3 linked regions of the Lonchura striata genome follow. The main gene of each other region encodes a partner of the protein of the gene in region 3 in a complex. Links are inferred from orthologs where the notes say so. Each region holds a gene or a part of one and is shown on either strand. Other genes may lie near its edges.

Region 1 (7,004 bases), on a different chromosome or scaffold from region 3:
CAGGGTGGAGCTGGGAACATGTATTTTTATTCAGGATTAGATTGGTTTTGTGCATTTTGGTGAGGATGGGGCAGCAGGCAGCAAATATCAGCCAGAAAAGGCAGATCACAGAGGAGGGACTCCGAGGGCTGACAGCTTTCTCTTGGGAACAAAAAAAGCACGAGGGAAACTTAGTAGCATCAGCAGGAAGCAGTTGTGGGGAACAGAGACAGGAATGGAAGGAGCTGTAGCAAAGCGATAAGAAAGGAACAGCACTGATGCCAAAAAAAGCATAAAATGCACAATTTTCCTTCTGTGCCAGGGTCCCAGACTGCCCCAGGGGCTTGCTGGGTGTCCTGGGGAAGGAAGGGTTCTGCACCAGGAGCTGCTGGCTCATTACAATCCCAGTGAGAAAGGTACTCAGCTCTGCAAAGCATCTTTGAAAATGCTGTTTGTTAAAGCTGACACTCACATGCCTCTATCACGCTTTCCACAGAGGTTAAACCTTGCCTTCACTCAAGACTTAAAAAGCTTAATTTTCAGTCTAGGCCTACCAGAGGCTTTTCATTTTGTGTAGCACCTGATCGGTTTGGAGACTCAAAGATTAAACTGGTGCTCATCAACTTGAAGCTGCATCTGTGGTTATTTTATGTACGAGGCTGGATCACCAGAAATGTGAGGATAAGCATTTGAATATAAACTCCCTCTAGGAAAAGGAACAAACTTCCCACTTCTTTCCCCTTGGTGCTACATGGGGCTCTGTGGTGGGTAAAGGACAGTTAGAATATCCCCAAGTCACTCAATTAATTAAGCCTGATAACAATTAATTACATTAAAATTAATGCGCAAATTTAATGTTTTACACATGTCAAAGACATGCCAGGAAAAAAAGAGGGTCTTACTGTGCCATCTTTAATTCTTTTCATTGTTGGTTTAACCCAAGGTGATAAGGAACAAGCCTAGTTTGTGCTCCTCATTTGCAGGTCCCCATGAGTGTTACAGCACGGCTCTGTGATGACTATTTCGTTTTGTTTCCAGATAAAAGGGGACAAACAAGTTTGTTTCACAGCATGGCCCACGGCCCTGTGGCAGAGCTGCCAGCACCTTCCAACATCCCACTTTGCATGTGTATTCCTTACACCCTCGCCCAGGGCCATGGCACCGACCCACAGAGCTTTGGAAAGGGAAAACCTCCTTCAAATCAGTCACAGCGCTGCCTAAGCAGGGGCTGGAGGCAAACTCTGTGGAAATATTGGCTGCTCAGTATTCCCAGTGGTTTGGGAGGAGCAGAGGTGAGGAAGTCAAACCAGGAGAGGGAAAAGAGAAAATAAAATACCAAGAGAAGAAAGGGGAGGGGAACAGAGTGAATGTTGCAGATATTGCACAACTCAGAAGAGGCAGCTGTACCTGGAAAATACATCATCAGTGCTTCTTGTAGTGGCTGAAGAGACAGGCACACATTCCTGTCCATCCTCTCTTGTGGGAAAACAGCAGTTCACACGTTTATTTTTAAGTTGCATTTTAGCGTGCAGCAGGCTTGCAAATGTCACCTGTGTGATAAAATGGCTCTGCTGTGTTTCCTGCTCTGTGACTTGGCCACTTGGTGATGAAGAGCTGCTTTTGCTGTCAGCGAACACCACCGAGCCATCAGGCTGCAGAGCAGGGACCTGCAGCTTGCTGCACACAGCCTGGGAGCTGGAGCTGCCACACTCGAGGCACAGTTTGCATGTGCAGAGCACAACTCCAGCGGTGCAGCCCAGCTTGGGCCATCAAACAAGGTGAAACCGCCCCTCCAAGGGAGCTCGACTCTGTGGTCACCCTGCTGAGCAGCCAGCCCAGGGCCCGAGCACGACAGTGGTTTTGTTCTTGTGGCCACACCTGGTTCAGAACAACTGCAGTGAGCCCTCAGAGCACACGGCAGATGGGAAGAACTTGCAGGTACTTCCTACCCTGCAGTGAGTGCCAAAAAAATAGAGTAAATTAATCTTAAATAGAGTCTGAGGCCGAGCAGTAAGTTTGTCCTTTATCAGGGTCTTGTGTCTTGTGCCACCACTGCTACCTGTGCCCAGAAAACTGCAGAGCAAACATCAGATACCCAGATCTGACACTGCTGGGCTCCTGCTTACAGGACAAATGATGCTGCCCTGCATGCCTGAGCATCTCAGCAAGCCTGGCCCTCACACCTTGCTCCAAAGATCACAGTGCCTTGTGCTGAAGGAAGAATAATCTTTACAGGACTTTTTCCACATCACCCTGCCTCCCCCTTGGAATATTGTAAATTTTGGAGCTGTCTTTATAAAACGCAAGCAAAACACAGGGGATCTTGTTCTTCACAGTGTTGCTCTGAGCACAGTTTTGTAGAGTTGGTGTAAAGCCGTGAAAAACACGGCAAGCTCGGAGTGTTCCCATTTCTCACTCACTTGGTGTGACTGTAAACAACCACATGATGGAAAATCCCGGAGCGGTGTGCAGGACTTTGCTGGCCTTCCAGGATTCAACAGAAAGGCTGTTATTTACAAATCTGGAAGTGAAGCTTTAGGTTTGCAGAGTTCTCACTCACACGGTGAGGGTTTACCAGTGCAGTCTTTCAGGGCTCTAAGAAGAATTACACAGTTGTAATCACAAGCACCAATGTGAAACTACTGTCACTGAGCGTGTAATTCTGTGCCTGGGGCTCTCAGGACCCCTCTCTAATAGACCAGAGCATGGATCAGTTGTAAGGACAGTCAGTGCCAGTCTGGAATTCGCCAGGATCGCTGGAGTCAAGCATTTGGTCTGGAAATAAAATACAAAGGTATTTCATCTGGTACCAGTCAGAATTTTCAGATGTTTCTCTCATGCAGTGCACAGTCAGCAGGGCATGAGCCAGGGGCTCAAAGGCTGCTCCTCTTTTCCCATTCTCCCTCGATTCTCCTTTATGCAGAGGAAATAATCTGATTGCTCTGTGACTGTTTCCGTGTCTCTGTGACGGAGGTGTTACCTGCTTCCCTCTGCAGGGCCGTCCACTCTGGGCCTGAGTCAGTGTCACTGACGAGGAATGTGCCCCTGATTTCCAAAAGGCATGATCAGGCTCTCCGTGTCTGCTGTCACTGGCATTTAGAGCAGTATGAAGCCATGGATAGACATTAAGTAGCACATGAGGCAGCGCATGCAATAAAACTATCAGATCTCAGAGTGGCTGCTGGTAAAATATACATGGGGGTCTGATATGGGGGGGTCTCAGGCTGAGCTGTGCACCTAAGGAGAGAGAATGTCCAGATCCCAAGTAGTTTTGTTTGGATAAACCTGGAGTAACTGAACAATTTTCGAGTGTATTTGATATTAATTGACTGAAGGAGCAAACCTGAATATCTTGCAGTGAAAAGGATGAGTTCTGATGGCAGACGCATGCTGGAAAGCTTCGTCATTTAACCTGATTCTTTTAAAAATTTTGGTGGGGAAGTTTTACTGCTGCTAGCAAGCAGAAAATGTGCCGATTGTCAACGAGATCCATGTTCTTTTAGTCCCTCAGAAGCTGCAATCCACATTAACCTTCCACCTTCAAGCAGAAAGAACTAGTGGTTTGGAAAAAAAAAAAAAAAAAAAGAAATAATAAAAAGGGCAGGTTTTTTCTCGGCGGCATCTAGGGGGGTGGGTGAGAGAGAGAGAAAAAAAATTATTTAAAAATTATCAACAGGTATTTTCGAGGTTGGCGGGGGGATGAGCGCGGGGTGAACGCCCGCCCTGAGGTGAGGGGGAGGCGGGAAGGCGGCGGCGCGCGGGCCGCCCTGAGGGACGCCCGGGGCTGACAGCGGCCGCCGCCCGCCGCGGGCACAGCGCGGCCAAACCCGCAACTTGTGCCAAAACTTTCCGAAGTTAATTAAAACATCCCCCCCCCGCCGCCCCGCGCCGCCGCCGGGCTCCGCGCCGCCGCCGCCGCCCGCCCCGCTCCCTGCCGGCGGTCCCTGAGGGGAGCTCCATTGTCTGTGAGGGGATGGCCGCGCACCCCCGCCGCGCCCCCGCCCGCCGCGCCCCCGCCCTCCGCGCCGCCGTGCGCGGGGCGCCGGGCGGCCGCGGCGGGTGGCTGCCGGCTCTCCCCCAAAGTTTTTGGATCCGCGTCTCCTCATGATGTATGGATGATATATTGCATTGTGGGTGTCAATATAACTGACGGCCATATTTGCCGGTGCTGCTACTGCTGTAAACAACCCAAAGTGTCTGGGAGACACGGAGACGCTTCGCTGAATTTCAGGACGCTTCTCCTCCTCCCGCTGGCCATGTCTCTGGGAATGTCTTACAAGCCCAACTTGAACGCCCACATCCCCGGGACTCCCCTCAACCCGGGTAAGTGCGCGGCGGCAACTGGGTGGCAAGTTTGGGAGGCGAGCGGCGGGTGCCGCACCGGCACCTGGGGGAAGCCCCGGACTCGAGTTTGTGCCCAGTCCGGTATGGCGGGGCAGCGGCTCCGCGCCGCCATTACCGCGCCCGCCCGCCCGCCGGCCGGCGCCGCCAGCCCCGCTCCGCGCCGCCCCCGCGCCGGGCTCCGCGCCCGCCCGGCCCCGCGCAGCGCCGCCGCCGCTCCGGGGCTCCGGCCGCCGGGTTTCCTCCATGCTCGGCTCCCCGGGGCGGCTGATTGATCTGGATCAGGAATATTCCGGCGGCGCCTCAGCGAGGACCGCTGCTGGCGGGACGCCGCAAGTGCGGCCGCTCGCCCCGCGCCTCGCCTCGCGCCTCCTCCGGCGGCGGGGCCGCCCCGGGCCGCGCTCCGCGGGCCGCGGGGAGCCGCGGAGCCCCGACCTCCGCCGGCGCCTCGGGGCGACCCTCGGTCAGCGCTGCCCCGTCGGAGCCTCCCCCGCATCCCGAGCGGAAGAGCCCTCTCCGCTCGCTGGAGACTTTTGGGGATGGGGGGGCACACAGGGATTGCACTATTTCTTAAAAAACTCCTGTTTAAAAATCGCTCCTCATCCTTGGATTTGTACAGGAGTCCTGCCAACTTTCCTCTTTAAAAAGTTTCCTTGACAGCGTTAACTTTTTGCCTTTTTTCTTTTTTCTTCCTTTTTAAACTACGTTGCCCCGTTTTTCTCCTCCCGATTTCCGAAGGCATCAGCCGGCGGGTTTTTGCCGGTGCTGTGGTGCTGCTGTGCATCGGGTCTCCGTGTGCGAATCGGTGCAGCCTGAACAAAGCCGCAGCAGCAATTGCTTCGCTGTGGGATATTTGGAGGGGATCTCGCTAATCTGTGCTCGTCGGCTCCGATTAAACCGCACCAAAATGGAGAAGTTGGTTCTGACTTTAAAAATTCGTATTCGTCTCCCATGCCCGCAGCCCAGCCTGCAGGACTGGCATCAATCAGACAGCCACAAATCAGACTGATTTTTTTTTTTTTTTTTTTCCCTGAGAAAAAGTTTTGGAGTTAGGTTTAGGAGGGAGGGAAATGTGTCTGTGTGATTTTTACGGCACCGTTAGCGGTTGTGATCCTGGGAAGCTGAGGAGCGAAAGGGATCTCCGGGATGCATCTCTGTTCTAGCTACCAGGAGAGCAGCAATCGTATTTTACTGCAAGGACTCGTCACCAGCTGGTGGATGAGCCGATGTGGCTGTGCCACCTCGATCCTGCATGGAGCTGAGCTCGGTGGGGCTGCGAGGGTGCAAAGCTCGGGGAGCCGGGGTCGTGTGTGGGGAGCACCGTGGGGCTCGAGTGCTGCTCTGCGGAAGGGTCAGGGAGCAGGGGATGTGCCGAGGATTTCTGACAAAAAGCAGAAGTGTCACCGGAGGGGGGAAAAAAAATTAAAAAAAAGAAACAAAGCAAAGCCCAGCAAGGGAAACCGTTCTCCTGCCGGCTCCCACGAGAACCTGTGCCTTGCTCTCCGGAACAGCCGTAAAATTGCAGGGAAAACAAAGGTGGTATTTTGCGATGGTGGGTGAGGGGTGGGGATTAGGTCATGCAGTGGAGGGGATCCGAGTCTGGCTGCTCTGCGAGCAGGGACTGCAGAATCCCGGCTCAGACATGCCGCGCACAATGCGAGCCGAGCGGTGAAGTTTCTGTCTCCAGCCCTCTCGCTGCCGTGTCTGCGCTTTCCACCGCTCCGGCTTTGGATTCTTTCATGCAGTTTTATCTTCCCCTTCTCTCCCACCCTCCTTTTCCCCTTGTATCGGCAAGTTAGCAGCAGTTTGCTGTCATGCTGGAACTATTCTTGTCTAAGTTGTCCTCTCTTCTGAGTTCGGATCATCCTCAACACCCCCAGAATCTTTTCAATGAAAGAACGTCCTCCTCTGAATCCAAAATGGGCTCTCTCTTCCCTCCCTGTCTTCTGCCATTATCCTCACGCACCAGCTCTTCCTCTAGCTAGTGGTATTGCCAGCACCGTGGCCTAAGGCCAAGGGACTTAGACAAAGCAGTCCTTGCAGTTGCACATATCGCATTCAGAGTGATATGACTGCAAATGGCCCCCTCCTTTCTGGAGCTTAATTCTGATTTGGAGGAGATTGCCTCTCTATTGTGCCTAAATTAAATGCCCCCCAGCCAGGAGGATAAATCCTAGGTTTGCTTCCAAAATTGGGGTGGAGGACCCCCATCCCCTACCTCCCCCCCACAGCCCTGCAGAGGAGAGGAAAACAGGAAATCTGTCCCTTTTGGCCTGAAATCAGCCCTGCAGAAACCTCTCTATATGAATGCTGAATTTTTTGGGCTTGGCCGACGGAGGGCTCTGGGCAGCTGTGGATCTCACAGGGATTTTCCTCTGGGAGGTAATGCTGCTTCCCTGCAGTGCAGGGCTTCTGGTGGAGTATTTGGGAAGGCAGTGTCGACTCAGCTCTTGGAGCCGTGTCCTTGCTGCAGAGCAAACTCCTCTCAAGTTGAGGCTGAGAGTAGCCACTCTGCAAAATGATACTTAAACTGCACATCAGTGAGATGAAGCAGTTGTGGTTGGTGGGTGCCTGGGCTCTGTTCTTGCATGGGAGCATGTTTTGGGAATCCAATCCTGGACTGAAGTCCAGAGGGAGAGGAGCTGGATGTGGGGGAGGAAATACAGGGAGGAAACCTCCGTGGG
Region 2 (7,618 bases), on a different chromosome or scaffold from region 3:
TCTTTTATGTTTCTTACTCAAGTCTATGGTTAGCAAACACCTAAAAGGTAACTTATTTGATGGTGCACAGACATGAAATTTCAGTGCCTGCATTTCATAGTTAAAGGATTAAGAGAAATAGCACATCTTTTTAATGCAAATCAAACTTTATCTTTTTAACAGTTTAAAACAATTAGAAGAAGCAGATAGCACACCTCAAAAATTCTGAAGAGAAAGGTATATACTCAATGTCCTTTAAGATACAAGGTACACTGCACGGCGAGAGGGCACGTATCCCATTAGAAGACGTGCATGAACAGAAGGAAATCTAAGGAGACTCTCTATGATTAAGGTGGATGGTGACGAGGCCTAGAGCTCACATCTTCCCTTCTAACCATTTCCAAGGGAAGCCAAATTTAGGAAGGAATGCACGACCTTTAGCTGAAGTTCAAAGAAGAGACCAGCACTCTCAGCAAGGAGTACAACATATCTGACCCCTAAACACTTGCAATATTTCATAACAAGACTTTCTGCAACTCAGTCTTGAAAAGAATGATTCTCCTTTGTTTTAAAGTCTGCAAGTAAGTTTGATTTCTAAGCATAAAAAAAACCCACAATTTCAAACTCAACAAAACATAGAAGAAATACAAACTCTTTTTTCTATGCCTTTTTTTTACTGCAAAATCTCACATACTCAAAGAGAGAGAGGAGAGCTTCTTATTTTTCATTTCTCAGAATATCAAACAATTCACAACTTCATTTGCATGTTTCTTTGAAGAAAACAAGACAGCCATGGGGGAAGCCTTTTATTTTTAAACAAACTGTCTGGTTTTAGGTCAATAAAACACCAGCCAGTGATACAATGTTCTTCCTCTCTGCTGTTGTCTGTATGACCACTATCAAGAACTTAATTTCCCTATTTCCAGAAGCAAGAACTTCTACTGACTGGATGTCAAGAATCATAAAGAATTCACATTTACAACTGAATAATGTTTTGACACCTCATTTTACTGTTTTTCATTCAAATGTGCAAAAGTATTTTGCGAAAAGGTGGAAAAACACGTTCTAGAATCACATTTTTATACTGTATTAATATATATTTTAAAAGATAATACTTTTATGTCACTAATTTTAGTAACATACTCTAGTGTAATCTTTACCTACAAAAGCTGAATGCCATGTCAATCAAAAATGAACCTGTGTTGGAGTATCTTTTACTAGAAACTAAATGTTGAGCTTCCACAGTTTGATGCCAGCATTCTAAGTATTTGCACTCCAGCAATGTCATAGTGTAATCCAGTATGCAAAAGAAAAGGCCACCAAAATTACGGCTGGGATGCAACTCCTCTCTCTCAGGCAAAAAGCTCTCTCTGACTACTTATCATATACGGAAATTGCTAGATGGTATAGTAGAACCAGAAGATACATATAAATAGTTAAATAACAGACTTTATTATTTACAGTATTAACTCTAATTTTATAGTCCTAAATTTTTAAATAGAGAAAAGCTTCCTAAATATGCTGTGTAACACTCAACATTAGGGAAAAAAACATATTTTAGTCATTTTGAAATATTGGTGGCCCTATTATGGACCTAAAACATAGTTCTTGTTCTTCTTATTATTCCATATGACTGATTCAAACTTTATCGTTAAAGTTTTAGGATTGACTGGATCAATATCCTAAAGTTTCTGATTTTTTTCCTTTCTGATCGCACTTTAGTGAAACTAAGGGAATGGAGAAACCTTCATGCTATTATTTATGTATGCTAATTCTAAGGCCCTGCAAGGGATAATATTGCAAGACATATTAATAATGAGAAATCAATTTTAAGTTCTAAAAACACTCCTAGTGGTCCAACCATTTGCATGAACATATATAAATCCCAAGGACAAAACATACAGTCGTGGAAGAAAAATTTTTTTGATTCTGCAAAGGTGCATTTAAAAAAAAAACAGCACTTCATTATAATTATATGCTTTATAGAAAATTAGAAAATAGTTCAGGAGCTTATTTAATATGGTAATTTGGAAATGGTTATCACACTTTTTGCCAGCAGCAGGTTCTCCTCAATGCCTGACACCCCGTCAATACACTACGCCTGCAAAGTGAACTTATAAGTGTGCCACCAGCACGACACGAGTCTGATGCCACGGTAAACTGCTGAAAGAGCAAAACACCGAAGTCCGACACTCAAACAACATTAGATCTTTTTACCTGCAAAAAAATATTCCGTAGTTCAGCGGGATCCGCTCTTTTGGTTGAATGCACCTGTAAACACAAGCAAATGAATGCTTCGCTTAGGCGGGCTGCTGTCAGATCGCAGAGCAACCCGCCGCGCCGGCCGAAGGCGGCAACACGGCGTCCCTCGTCAGACCCACAGGCCCAACCTCAGCCGCGACCGCGCCGCGCCGCCGAGGCACGGCACGGGGCTCCGCGCCGCTGGCAGCTCTCAGCACGGCGCTGGCTGCGAGCGGCGCCCGGCCCCGCAGCACGACCGCCGCCGCTGCCCCGGGACCCCGGCCCGCGCCCCCCGGGGCACTCCGGCGGGCGGTGCGCCGCCGCTCCCCCGGGGCCGCCCCGCCATCACCGTTCCCCGGCCCCCGCGGGAATCCCGCCGCCCGCCTGCCCCCGGCCCCACGCGGGATCCGCCCGGCTCCTCCTGCCACCAGCGGCGGAGCGGGAGAGTCACCTTGACCGCCATGCTGCGCCCGCCGAGGAGGAGGAGCCAGCCGCCCGCCGCCCGCCGCGCCGCCGCAGCACCGCCGCCTCAGCGCGGCGCTGTGGGGAGAGCGCCCTGCCCCGCCCCGCCCCGCCCCGCCCCGCCCCGCCCCGCCCCGCCCCGCCCCGCCCCGCCTGTGGGTGCGCGGAGCGGGAGCCTGGTAGCGCCTCCACAGTGCAAAACGGGGCCTCTGAATGCTGCCGAGTCTCCTTGTGGCGCAACACATGCAGCCGTGTCCCTGAGGGTCAGCAGAGGTGTGCGTGTACCTGTTGGTTTCAGGTACCGAAATTGTTCATAGGCTGGTGTTCTGGCAGCTTGGCTGCAAGTCGGTTGTAGCTCTCTATTTCAAACATAGAGCTAGAGGCCCAAAATCCGGCTGAATTCACTAACTTCTTACAAGGTCTTATAATCCTTTATCAGCAGAGCACACATATGCTTTATACTTAAAAATAAAAAGCATGCAGGCCGAAGTCTTAAGAAAGGGAAGGTTTATACCTTATTCCAGCAGTTCAATCATGGTGCTTATAAAACCTGATTTAAATAATACTTCATACTATGTCTTGCTGTGCTATTTCAAGGGCACAACAAATTGTCTTTTATTAGATGGCACTGGAAAAAGGTAGATTCTGGTACTCCTCAAATAGCACAGAGAGATATTAAACTAAATACAGTAACTGGTAGCTTACAATGGTGGTCAGAAAACAGTGACTCAAGTTTAAAACAACTTTCCTCTGGTAAACAACATTTTAATTACATGTCAAAAAAAAGGTTTTCTTAAGAGTTCATATACTACATATATGCCTATGTCCCAGCTGACAGCAGAAGTTTTGCTAGAAATCTTGCCTATTTGGTAAGCATCTGACCACCCAAGTATGTTGTTCAATAAAGCCATATGTGTACATGCTTAGCTGCAGGGTGTTATGGTTTACCCTAGCCAGCAGCCAAGCCCCACACACTCACTCACTTGTTCCCCCACCAGCAGGACTGGCGAGAGAATTGGAAGGGTAAAAAGTAGAAAACTCATAGGTTGAGAGACAAGCAGTTTAATAGGAAAAGCAAAAGCTAGGCAGACAAGCGAAGTAAAATCAGGAATTAATTCACTGCTTCCCATGGGTAGGAAGGTGTTCAGCCATCTGCAGGATGGCAGAGCTTCATCACCAGTAGTAGTTACCTGGGAAGACAAACATCATCGCCCCAAACATCCTCTCCCTTCTTCTCCTCACTTTATAGACTGTGCAGGATGCCATCTGGTCAAAAATATCTCTTTGTCACTTAGGGACACCTGTCCCAGCTGTGTCTCTTCCAACCTTTCATTCAGCCCCAACATCCTTACCACCATGGCAGTACTGGCTCCATGTACGCCCTGCTCAGCAATAACAAAAATATCTGTTCAGCACAAATCCCAGAAAACACGGAATAAGCTGAGTTGGAAGGGACCCTCAAAGATTGAACCCACCACCCCCACACAAGCCAGTGTGAAAAGTAATTCTACCCCTGTCCAAACCAGCACAGCAACTCCCACTGTGCATCAAAAGCCAGGTCTCTGAAAGAAAACGGCAGAAATCCCACAATAGCTGCAACAAGCAGTTCAATATAGAGAGTTTTATTTTTTTACTAATGACAGAGCTCCGGCTGTTTGCTCGGCCAAAGCGTAACTGCAGCAATGAGCAGCGAGGTCTGAGAGTGAGGAAGGAGCCGGCAGCCGCAGGGTCCGCGACGCGCGCGGAGCCGCCGCACGTGACAGAGGCGCGAGCAGCTCTGCGCACGCGCGCCGGCCGGCCCGCGGTCTGGGGTGGGCGGGGCGGGGCGGGGCCGGTCACGCGAGCCAGCGCGAGGCTCGAGGCGGTGCCGGGCATGCGCGCAGGCTGCGCGCGCCGCGCGGGGCAGCTATTGGCTCCACGCCGGGTTTCGGCGGGCGGAAGCGGAAGCGCCTGCGCGCGCTCTCATTTCCGGCGGGCGGGCGCGCGGGTTGAGTCGCGGCGCGGGGCTCGGCCATGGCGGGTGAGTCCCGGCCCGGGAGCGGCAGCGGGGCCGGTCCCAGCCTCGCCGGCACGGGCAGGAGAGCTTAAGCTCGGAGCCGGCGGATGCGGGCGGACGGGAACAGGCTGTGAAGGAGGGGAGCCCCTCTGCCCCTCTGCCTCTCTGCCGCCTGACTGCCATGGTCCTGCTCCTGCGTGTCTGCGGGCTTATGGCCCCCACGGTCTGGTAGTGTTAGACCAGAGAGTGTGTCCGTGGCCACGAGTGTGCTGGCGGTGGGCAAAGAGCTAAAAACCCGAAAGTGTTTTTACTTAAAGTTTGCTGCCTGAAGTAAGATGCAGAAGAACTTTCTTATGGCCCTTTGAAATGAAGCGGGGGTTATGTTTGTGAAGCACTTGGAACATACCTGAGGTGAAACGTGTCTTCTGGCCTAGATTAGGCTTTGGAAATCACATGAAATACAGTGCATTTATTTGCGTTTTTCTTCCACATCCGTTCCGGAAGAGTAGTGCTGGTTAAATAATTGCTAGTGGTGTACATGCCACTGTAGTTCATTAATAGCAGTTTATGAAACTGACTTAATGCAAACACTTGAAGTGTGTTGACACGTGTTATTTATAACATGTTATACTGAATTCTTATTCAGTATTGCATGTTATAAGTAGCACATATGAAATATATATTTAATTTGTAGTAACTTAGAATACTTAATATTTTTATGGTAATGACTTTAATTCTCAGAAACTAAAATGAGATACTTGTATGTTTTCTAATTCCAGAAGAGTGTGTGAGACAGCTCTCTTTATCCTCTGTATTGATGTGTTGTGGCATGTTGTAGCTGTTTTAATCTTTCTTGTTTGGTGGTCTCGTGTTAAGTGTTTTTTCTTGGTTTATGACCCTTTTTCTAATATATTTTTTGAGTAATAATGACAAAGAGATTGGACACCTCTTAAAAAAATCTCTTTTTTTTCAGGACTTACTGCTATGGAGAAGAAGCTGGCTGAATACAAGTGTAATACAAATGAGGCGATTCAGCTGAAGCTAGGTAATACCACTTTTTAAATATTATACAAGTGATACTGAAGTATTCTGGTGTCTTTCTGTGAAATAGATACATGTATACATCTGTGTCAGTTTCTCAGTCCTAGTCTGATTACTGATTTGATACTCATAGGTCAAGTAACATGAATCCAAATTGTATAGGATGCCTTGATATCATTTGTATGCCACTCTCACATAGTTTCTTAACTAAAGTTGTCTGACTCTAGTGGAAAGGTGTGTGAACAGCTCGCAGGGCTTCTGTGGATAAACAGATGAAAGGTGGTGACTTGGTCATGCTCTCTTCTTTTTATTTTCTCAGTTCGCTTTCCTGAGGATTTGGAGGATGAGAACACAACATTTAATCCAGAGTACAGCCATCAAGTGTTTGGAGATGAGTAAGTCAAAGTTTCCAGATTTAAACTAATAGGTCCCAAAGGACAAATTTGTTTCCAAATAATTAAAAACCATAACATTTTGCTAATATGGAGTGCAAGATAAGAAGTGCTGGCCTGGTGCTGCTGCTACATTTACTGGCACAGGATAGGACGCCTCTGGCCTTCGTGCACCTGGGCACACGCTGGCTCACTCGTGTTCAGTCAAGTGTCGACCTGCACCCCCAGCTCCTTTGCTCTGTTCTTCCCCAAGTCTGTCACTTGTGACCCAAGTCCAGCAGTTCAGCACTCCTGTCCAGCCTAGTGTTGACTGCAGCTGACTTAGGGAGCATTCAGATCACTGATAAGACATTAAATGGGACTGTCACTGAGCCCTGGGGAACACCACAGGGGAACAGCTGTCGGGTGCATTTGACTCCATTCCCCACCACTCCTTGGGCATGGCCATCCAGACAGTGAAGAATGCCCCTGTTCAGGCCATGAGCAGCCAGTTTCTCCAGAGGAATGCTGATATCAAAGTCTTCCCTAAAGTGTAGGTGAAAAAGTATTGTTTCTTTTATTTTGAGCATGCTGAATTAATTAGTGCTGAAGTGTCATCTATTATTTTCAGTAGAGTGATATTCAACAATCTGGCCATAGATTTAAAAAAAACCCAAAACAAACAAACAAAAAAAAACAAACAAAAAACCCCGAAACAAACCTAAAGAGAATCCACCTGTATGTTTCTGTGGACTTCAAGTAGTTGTGTTTCTTAATTTCAATTTCCTTTTGAAAGCATTCTTAAGTACTTCAATTAGAATGAAATACCTGTATTAAATGTAATAAATTTGTTATACCAATAGCATCATTGACAATAATTATAATTTTAGTAATCAGAGAATTCTCCAATCTGTTAATTTAGCTAAGAAGGAAATTCTTCTGGCACTTAACATTTCAAATTTTAAATTATGAATGTACTACCATAAAAGAAAAATCCCAGTAAAAAAAAAGTTTCAGCTATGCTTCAACAACAACAACAAAAAAAATTGGCCTGTTTCTTTGTGAACATTACTATTTTCTGCATGTGTTTTCCAGAAAAGAAATTCTCTATTCTTCATAAGAGTATCGAATTTGTGTTCAGGCAGCTCGTATTTTCAAACTGTAAAAAAGGCTTTTGTATTCTATACTTCTTTTTGCAGGTACTAATTTCTGGTTAGATTGGATAACTAAATAGAAACTGTCAACCAAAAACTTCACAAATTGCTACACCTGGTTATCTGTGCTTTGTACATTATAGATTGCAGTCGTTTACTCCAAAATATTATACTACACTGCAAAATAATTTTTAATAAATATTAGCAATCAATTAATGTAAATAACTGTTAATGAGTTAAAGCTGTTGAAAAAGCATAAACACAGTATGAGCTGTATTCTTTCCTGTCACAGTAAGGACACAGGCACTGCCTTACTGAGCTCAGAGTATTTCCTCTAGAGGAGCGAAATAATAGAAGCAGTGTAAGGCATTACC
Region 3 (7,693 bases):
CCGAACCCTACAGCTCATGAGTTCCCACTACAGCATCCCCGTGGTGGGAGCAATGCCACCTAGAAGGTGCAAGAGGAATATTTGTCTACAATGCTGGATATAATCCCAGTGAGTCATGCTTTCTCCTAAGTACTGACATTCCCATAAATGCACTTTATTCAATGCAAAGCAAGAGCTGCCAATTGCACATGGCTGTGAAGCACACAGATGTTGCCCATCAGGATAAAACACAATCACAGCTATTTAGAAGTGAACTATTGGAGACGTGCTGTCATTAGGCAAATCCCAAACTGCATGTCCCAGAGAACATGTCCAAGACACAGCTATAGCTCAAGATCTTTTGTGACAGCAGGACATTGGCTAGGTGTGATTGATACTGGGGAGATGATAATTGCTGGGTAAATAAAAATAAATATTGGATGACCAGTGGGGAAAATAAACATGGTCACATTTCAAGAAATTCTGAGTGAATTAAAATGAAGTGTGCTTTTCTTATCTACATGTTTTAAGAAAATGAGGCATTATTCCAAACAGGCTACTGGGGCTATGCAATGACAGCAAACATGTTAGAGTATAATAACTATTGAGGCTGCTATTTTACGTTTCCAATAGGTAATTTTGAGTTTTTGTGCAAACTTGCTTTGCTTTACACAATTTTATGACTGAGATGGTCACTCACAGTAATACCTACACCTACTTGCTGAGTTATGCTAAGAACATCCATCACTTCTGCATAATGTATAAGAGACAGAAGCAACAGCAAGCCAGCTAATTCTTTGCAGAATGTCTTTAAGCTAAAACTAACAAGTGCATATAATTATTCATAAATATGCCTGTAATTTGAAGCAGAACATACAATTGAGGATGCAGGAGATGGTTTTTTACTGAAATGAAGATGCAATATTTGATGCTTAGGTTTGAAAGAAGTATAGCTCAATAAAAATAAAGCTTATGATTCAAGTCACTCTTTCACTTCAGAACTAATTTATGGTGCATTTTACACATACTGCAAATGATGAACAACAGCTTTGTGTAATTGCTTTCCTTACAAAGTGTGGGAATCAAAGGATATGTTTTAGATGTGTGGCCACAGATATGACCATGCCAATGAATTGCAAATAACCAACATAAGAGCCGATGATGTGCTGTCTTTGATAGATGTAGTGTTATAAATCATCTCTTCCATGATAAATCTCAACAGGAGAAGAGCACTTAATAACAGGATTTTTGGTGCACAGATTTAAATAAAGAAAAAATGTGGTTGTGTGCAAGTGTAATTGTTAACAAGGAGAAGAGAACTACGCTGGTCACTTACCAACCATTCTGACATCTAGATATAACAGGTTTTTTTTCACCAAAGCTAGCACTAGTTCTGGAGCCTATTACAATCAAACTTGATTTCCAGATCCTAAACAGAGTCAGCAAAAAATTGTGGAGGGTTGGGGAGCAATTCTTCACTTATAGTTCAGCCAAGCCCTACATGACATAATTGAACAATTTTATCCATCATATTTCAAAAGCAATTCACATTTTCCCTATTATACTCCAGGTAAGCTGTGGCCACAAATACTGCTGTTTACAGCAAAATCACAAAGAGCATCACAGCCAAATGCTTACACGTGCTTCATCTTTCAAGGGGCCACGTAATCACCCTTCTGGGGGAGCTAACAGAGGGCACTTAAAGCCAGGAAGCCTGACAGAGATTTCCTTTATCCATTATCTGAAGTTTAAGTGATCAACTCTCTGTAACAACACACAGGCTCTGAAAGGTTCAGTCTTCATTCTGAAAACGTTTTAGGAAGGCCTCAGCACTTCGTAGGAGTAGACACATTCTTGGCAGCAAACACCAAAGCATCAAGTAAGCAGTGCCAAAGGGAAGCTGGTGCCACATCTGGCAGGAGAAGGCTCTGTGTCTGTGTTAACTCGTGCACTCCTATGGAGCTGACTGCTGTACAGGTTCCGTGCAATTCAACAGGATTCTCATTTTAAACAAGTAAGCCATGCAAAGGTATAATTCCAATCTGTGTGGGTTACGGCGAAGATTAAGATATACTTATTTAACTTCACCAAAAGATTTATATTTTTTAACACACTGGTCAGAAAAGCAATGGTTTATTAGGGAAAGCTTCCAGTTGGAGGAGCTGGCTGCATTCCTTAGTCTTATTCCCTGATTCCCGTGCTGCAACCTTTGGCTGCTTATTAAGAGCCTCAGAGTCTCCTGCCTTTGCTAGACATAAACATTTTCCAGAACTGGATTCCTTGTTTGAAAAACTGGTGTCCAGACTCTAGAAGGCTGAGTCCATGAAGCGTGTTCTTTGAAATGCCAGTTATTATTTTTCTGTTTCCTTCTCTCTCCTCCCACCATCTATAGCTGAGCACAGTGAGCTCCACTACAGAGTTGATTTCTTTCCCTTCTGGGACTCCAGGCATATAAGCCTTAGTGATACAGGATTCATCTCTGTGAGTTTAACACTGATGCAAGGATTCATTTTAGAACTGTAATTTAAAACATGGCAAGAAAACACATGCTATTTGGAGACAAAAAGTTCTTTTGAATCTTTAAGGGCATTTGGGAGACTCTAACCTCATTCTTAACTGCCTCTGTTTCCATTGTTTTTCTGGAAAGTGTTATTAGCTGCCAGAAAGATCTACCCTGGTTAAGGCAAGCACTGTTAATTTAAGCTGAATTGAAAGCAGTAAAATTAAATCATAGAATCATAGAAATTAAATCATAGAATCATAGAATAGTTTGAGTTGGAAGGGATAGTTACAATGCCCCTGACCAGGGCACAGACACCTTCCACTAGACCAGGTTGCTCAGAGCTCCATCCAACTGGCCTTACACAATCTTTTACTGACAGCTGAAAGGAGAGATCAGCAAGGCTGGGCAGGCAGGGTGGTATGGCTGTATGTTTGATTTGGATGGTGACAGGGCCATATGTTTGATCTGTACATAGCCACTTAAACAAAGCCATGTCACTTGCCAGGGTATGAGACACCACCACTGACCCCATTAGAGAGTGACAGAATTTAAAACACTGGTAACACCAACTGATCCTGTGTGTCTGACAGTTCAGCAATGCAATTCAGTGCCTTCCATGCCAAAACTGCAATTAAAAATAGTTCAAACATGCCTTTCTTCTAGTAAATGGGGCAATATTCAGAACCATTGCTGAAAAAACTAACTATGCAGCTGTGGCCACTGTAACCATTCTTACTTACAGATTTACTTACCTGGTTTAGCGGAAGGTATCCCTGCCCAACAGGGTAGTTGGAATGAGCTAATCTTTAAGGTCCCTTCCAACCTAAGCCAATCGACCATTCAATAATTCTATAATTTCTAGTTGCGAAGGGGGATCAATATCCACGTTCTCAATGTGATTTAGGGCTCATTAGGTAAAACATACTTAATAGGTGTCCGGGGGCGCGCTGCTTTACCTGCAGCCCCACCTCGCGGCCACAGCGCAGCGCGGCCGCCTCCGCCTTCCCCGGCCCCGCCTTCCCCGGCCCCGCCTTCCCCGGCCCCGCCTTCCCCGGCCCCGCCTTCCCCGGCCCCGCCTTCCCCGGCCCCGCCTTCCCCGGCCCCGCCTTCCCCGGCCCCGCCTTCCCCGGCCCCGCCTCGCCTCTCCCGGCCCCGCCTCTCCCGGCCCCGCCTCACCATCCCCGGCCCCGCCTCGCCTTCCCCGGCCCCGCCTCTCCCGGCCCCGCCTCGCCTTCCCCGGCCCCGCCTCGCCTTCCCCGGCCCCGCCTCGCCTTCCCCGGCCCCGCCTCGCCTTCCCCGGCCCCGCCTCGCCTTCCCCGGCCCCGCCTCGCCTTCCCCGGCCCCGCCTCGCCTCCCCCGGCCCCGCCCCGCCTTCCCCGGCCCCGCCTCGCCTCTCCCGGCCCCGCCTCGCCTCTCCCGGCCCGGCCCCGCCTCTCCCGGCCCCGCCCCGCCTTCCCCGGCCCCGCCCCGCCTTCCCCGGCCCCGCCTTCCCCGGCCCGGCCCCGCCTCTCCCGGCCCCGCCTCGCCTCTCCCGGCCCCGCCTCATCTTCCCCGGCCCCGCCTCACCTTCCCCGGCCCCGCCTCACCTTCCCCGGCCCCGCCTCGCCTCTCCCGGCCCCGCCTCGCCTCTCCCGGCCCCGCCTCATCTTCCCCGGCCCCGCCTCACCTTCCCCGGCCCCGCCTCACCTTCCCCGGCCCCGCCTCGCCTCTCCCGGCCCCGCCTCATCTTCCCCGGCCCCGCCTCCGCCATCCCCGGCCCCGCCTCGCCTTCCCCGGCCCCGCCTCTCCCGGCCCCGCTTCGCCTTCCCCGGCCCCGCCTCGCCTTCCCCGGCCCCGCCTCTCCCGGCCCCGCTTCGCCTTCCCCGGCCCCGCCTCGCCTTCCCCGGCCCCGCCTCACCTTCCCCGGCCCCGCCTCACCTTCCCCCGCCTCGCCTTCCCCGGCCCCGCCTCGCCATCCCCGGCCCCGCCTCCCCCGGCCCCGCCTCACCTTCCCCGGCCCCGCCTCGCCATCCCCGGCCCCGCCTCCCCCGGCCCCGCCTCACCTCTCCCGGCCCCGCCTCACCTCTCCCGGCCCCGCCTCACCTCTCCCGGCCCCGCCTCGCCATCCCCGGCCCCGCCTCGCCTTCCCCGGCCCCGCCTCGCCTTCCCCGGCCCCGCCTTCCCCGGCCCCGCCTCGCCTCTCCCGGCCCCGCCTCGCCTCTCCCGGCCCCGCCTGGCCCGGCAGCCTTTTGGGGGCCGGGGGCCGTCCCCGCGGCACCTCGCCCTGTTCTCCCTCCTGCCCGCGCTCCCTCCCTGCTTTCCCCTTTTCCTGTCTCCTCCGTTTCTTCCTGCCCCCTGCGCTGCCTCCCGGCGCCGCCTCCCGCCCGACATGGCGAGCACGGACGGTAGGAGCCCCCTCCCTCCCCTGTCCCCGGCCGGGTGAGGTGTGGGGTGTGTGAGCCCGGGGATGGCGGAGCTGGGGCGCTCCGGGATTCCTCCCCGAGCAGCTTCCGCGGGAGGTGGCAGCGGGGATGGCCGGCTGCAGTTTTCGTCCCGCCGGCCGCCCCCGATGGCCCTGCGGGACCCCCACTCCTGTCCCGCCCCGGTAGAGCCCCGGCCCCCTCCACCCTCAGTTCATCCCTTCCCTTCCTGCAGTGCTGGAGGACACGGTGGAGGAGCGTGTCATCAGCGAGGAGTACAAGATCTGGAAGAAAAACACGCCCTTCTTGTACGACCTGGTGATGACCCACGCCCTGGAGTGGCCCAGCCTCACGGTGCAGTGGCTGCCTGATGTCAGCAGGTGAGAGACGGGAAGGTGCCGGGGAGGCGCTCGGCTCCTTTCCCGTCAACCGTGTGTGCTGAGTACCTTGAGGATAAAAACCATGCAAGACGAGAGCAATTTGGGTTACAGTTCTCTTTGTTATCTCGTAGCGCTTTATTTTGCTTGCAGGAAAAAGGTTACAAGTTGATATTTTGCCGAAGTCTAGATTAGCCTAGCAGAAGGTGTTGTGAGATGTGAACACAGAAATCTTTCTCAATTTATTTCTAAATAAGAGATCTTGTGTTCCTCTAGTGTTAATTATGATCGAGAAATCTATATATTAAATCAGCTCATTCTTAAAGACTGATTTTCTGCATGTGCACTAATATATACTGTTCTGTCCAAGGTATAGTATTAATAGTGCAGTATAAGCTTGATATCTTTTAAGTCTGGACTTACTTAAGAGACTATGCTAAAACTTGTTCTTTGCATCCTGGTTTTGTCCTTGGTTCATTGTTGAATTCACATGTTCAAATTTCCCATTCTTCCACATACCCCTGAAAAAATTGTAGTCTCAGTTTCATTTCTTAAAGAAGAATGAAGCTGGGGATAGAATCTGTTCATGTGCCAACTGCTACAGAACTTAAATTGTTGCAGTAACAACTCAGGGTTCCACTGAGGTGGTGGACAAGGACTGGTGTAATGTGGAATTAGGTTGATTTAAAAATACCTTGTGTGTAAGCTTAATGCAGTTATCAGAAGATGGTCTCTTTGTTCTGTAAAGTTCCACTTCACATATGGGATGTTTTACATGTTGGTTAGGTGATCACTTCATTTGGTGTACCAAAGTGTTTGGGGATGATGTTGAGAGATATGAGCCAAATAGTCATGGCGTGGAGAAAATGCAGTGGGGATTTGAGGGTGTGGAGCCCTTATGAGGAACACTTCTGCTTGCCTCGTATTTTGCAGATTGGCTTAATATTCAGTTTAAAACCTGGTATTTCCAATTATCCACTGTCAAAATATGTAAGCAATTTAAGGCAAGGACTGCCTCTTTGTATGGCATCTGACATGATGGGACACCTGTTCCTGATGCAAGTAAGTGCATGTGCATTGTGTTTCTTGTGTGGTTTGGTATTTTTTCCCTCCCCTCTACATTTAGAAGTGGTGTAGTAATACCTGTGGTAGTTTATGATTACCAAAATTATTCTGGGTTGTTTGGATTTGGGAAACATAATTAGTTTGTTGCATTCAAGAATGCAGAGGTTGCTTGGTTTTTACTGCTCAGATTTGTCCTTTCAGAGATAAATGGCACCATCCATCCAGCTGTTCACTTTTAACTAAATGTTGCATTCAACCACCAGTAGAGAAATTTGGTTCTAGTTCAGATAGCTGGTTAAAGCTCCTAATAGAAGTAACTAAAGTAGGTTGTCACTTGTCTCTTCAGGATTTATGTTTTATGGAAAGGAGTATTGATTGTTTCCTAAATCAATACTCTGAGACTCCAGGGAAATTAGACCAAAGTAGGTCTTGGTGTCTCCTTTAACTGCTGTGCAGACTCTTAACTGTGCCTTTCAAGTCACAGTGGCAATGTTAATGCCTTGTATTGTCACTCGAGCCTTGCTGGTTGTGTCTTTGGTTTGCTCATGGCAGAGTCCAGTTTGCTTTAATACACAAGTCTTTGCAGCAGAGGGGAGGATCTCTTGGGGAGTGTCTCTTTTCTAGCTCCCTGAAGAGGTTTGCATCTTTAGAGTTATTGATGCAAGCTACAGAACTTCTGGAACTGAGCACATAATTTTATTCCAACATTTATTATTCTAAACAGGCCAGAAGGAAAGGATTATGCTCTGCACTGGCTGATTTTGGGAACACACACTTCTGATGAGCAGAACCACCTGGTTGTTGCCAGAGTCCAGATTCCCAACAATGATCAGTTTGATGCTTTGAAGTCTGACAGTGAGAAAGGAGGTGGGTATGCAGCATTCTTAGGTTCTGTTTGAGCAGTATCATTACTGCTTTCAATTGTTCTAATAATGATATTCTAAGTTTATGTGAAATACAAAAGTGGACAAATACCAGTCCACACTAATTCTAGACAACTAAAAATAAGAAACTTTTTGTTTCAGAAGAGCTTAGTTAACATTCATATGCAATTCCTACTAGAATTTCTACCAGCTCTCAGTTGTGGTAAAAACTGGTACACATCTACCTTAAGTTAAAACTAAAGCTCTGAAAGAAGATTCTAAATATCAGAAGTGTTAAAGCTATTGTGTTACATGGTGTGAGTCTTTCCTAGTCTTTGCTTGTGTTTAATAAGGTGCTACCACTGTTTCTTAGAGTAGGGAAGATGCTGTGGAATGCTGTTTCAGTAGTCTTAAAATAATGGATGGGATAAACTGACATTTTTCTGACAACTGTAGAATATGGTGGCTTCGGATCTGTGACTGGCAAAATTGAGATGGAGATTAAAA

What was found. The genes of interacting proteins can lie anywhere in the genome.
Region 1: RBBP7 (region 3) and CDK2AP1 share a complex: the UniProt entries of both Homo sapiens proteins name them as parts of the nucleosome remodeling and deacetylase (NuRD) repressor complex. The link is inferred for Lonchura striata from reciprocal best matches to the Homo sapiens genes RBBP7 and CDK2AP1.
Region 2: RBBP7 (region 3) and HAT1 share a complex: the UniProt entries of both Homo sapiens proteins name them as parts of the type B histone acetyltransferase (HAT) complex. The link is inferred for Lonchura striata from reciprocal best matches to the Homo sapiens genes RBBP7 and HAT1.

Annotation. Positions count from the first base shown.
Region 1 is NC_134620.1:13,009,577-13,016,580, reverse strand, and holds the start of CDK2AP1 (cyclin-dependent kinase 2-associated protein 1), read left to right. Parts: upstream 1-3,996; 5' UTR 3,997-4,094; coding exon 4,095-4,302; intron 4,303-6,580; exon of another isoform or gene 6,581-6,623; coding exon of another isoform or gene 6,624-6,702; intron 6,703-7,004. UniProt on the Homo sapiens protein: Inhibitor of cyclin-dependent kinase CDK2. Also acts as a component of the histone deacetylase NuRD complex which participates in the remodeling of chromatin.
Region 2 is NC_134610.1:20,438,932-20,446,549, forward strand, and holds the start of HAT1 (histone acetyltransferase type B catalytic subunit), read left to right. Parts: upstream 1-4,610; 5' UTR 4,611-4,695; coding exon 4,696-4,702; intron 4,703-5,651; coding exon 5,652-5,723; intron 5,724-6,038; coding exon 6,039-6,114; intron 6,115-7,618. Other genes in the region: SLC25A12 (electrogenic aspartate/glutamate antiporter SLC25A12, mitochondrial), read right to left, coding at 2,197-2,250, 2,672-2,683. UniProt on the Homo sapiens protein: Histone acetyltransferase that plays a role in different biological processes including cell cycle progression, glucose metabolism, histone production or DNA damage repair. Coordinates histone production and acetylation via H4 promoter binding.
Region 3 is NC_134604.1:100,704,605-100,712,297, reverse strand, and holds the start of RBBP7 (histone-binding protein RBBP7), read left to right. Parts: upstream 1-4,690; 5' UTR 4,691-4,850; coding exon 4,851-4,866; intron 4,867-5,116; coding exon 5,117-5,261; intron 5,262-7,047; coding exon 7,048-7,190; intron 7,191-7,642; coding exon 7,643-7,693. UniProt on the Homo sapiens protein: Core histone-binding subunit that may target chromatin remodeling factors, histone acetyltransferases and histone deacetylases to their histone substrates in a manner that is regulated by nucleosomal DNA.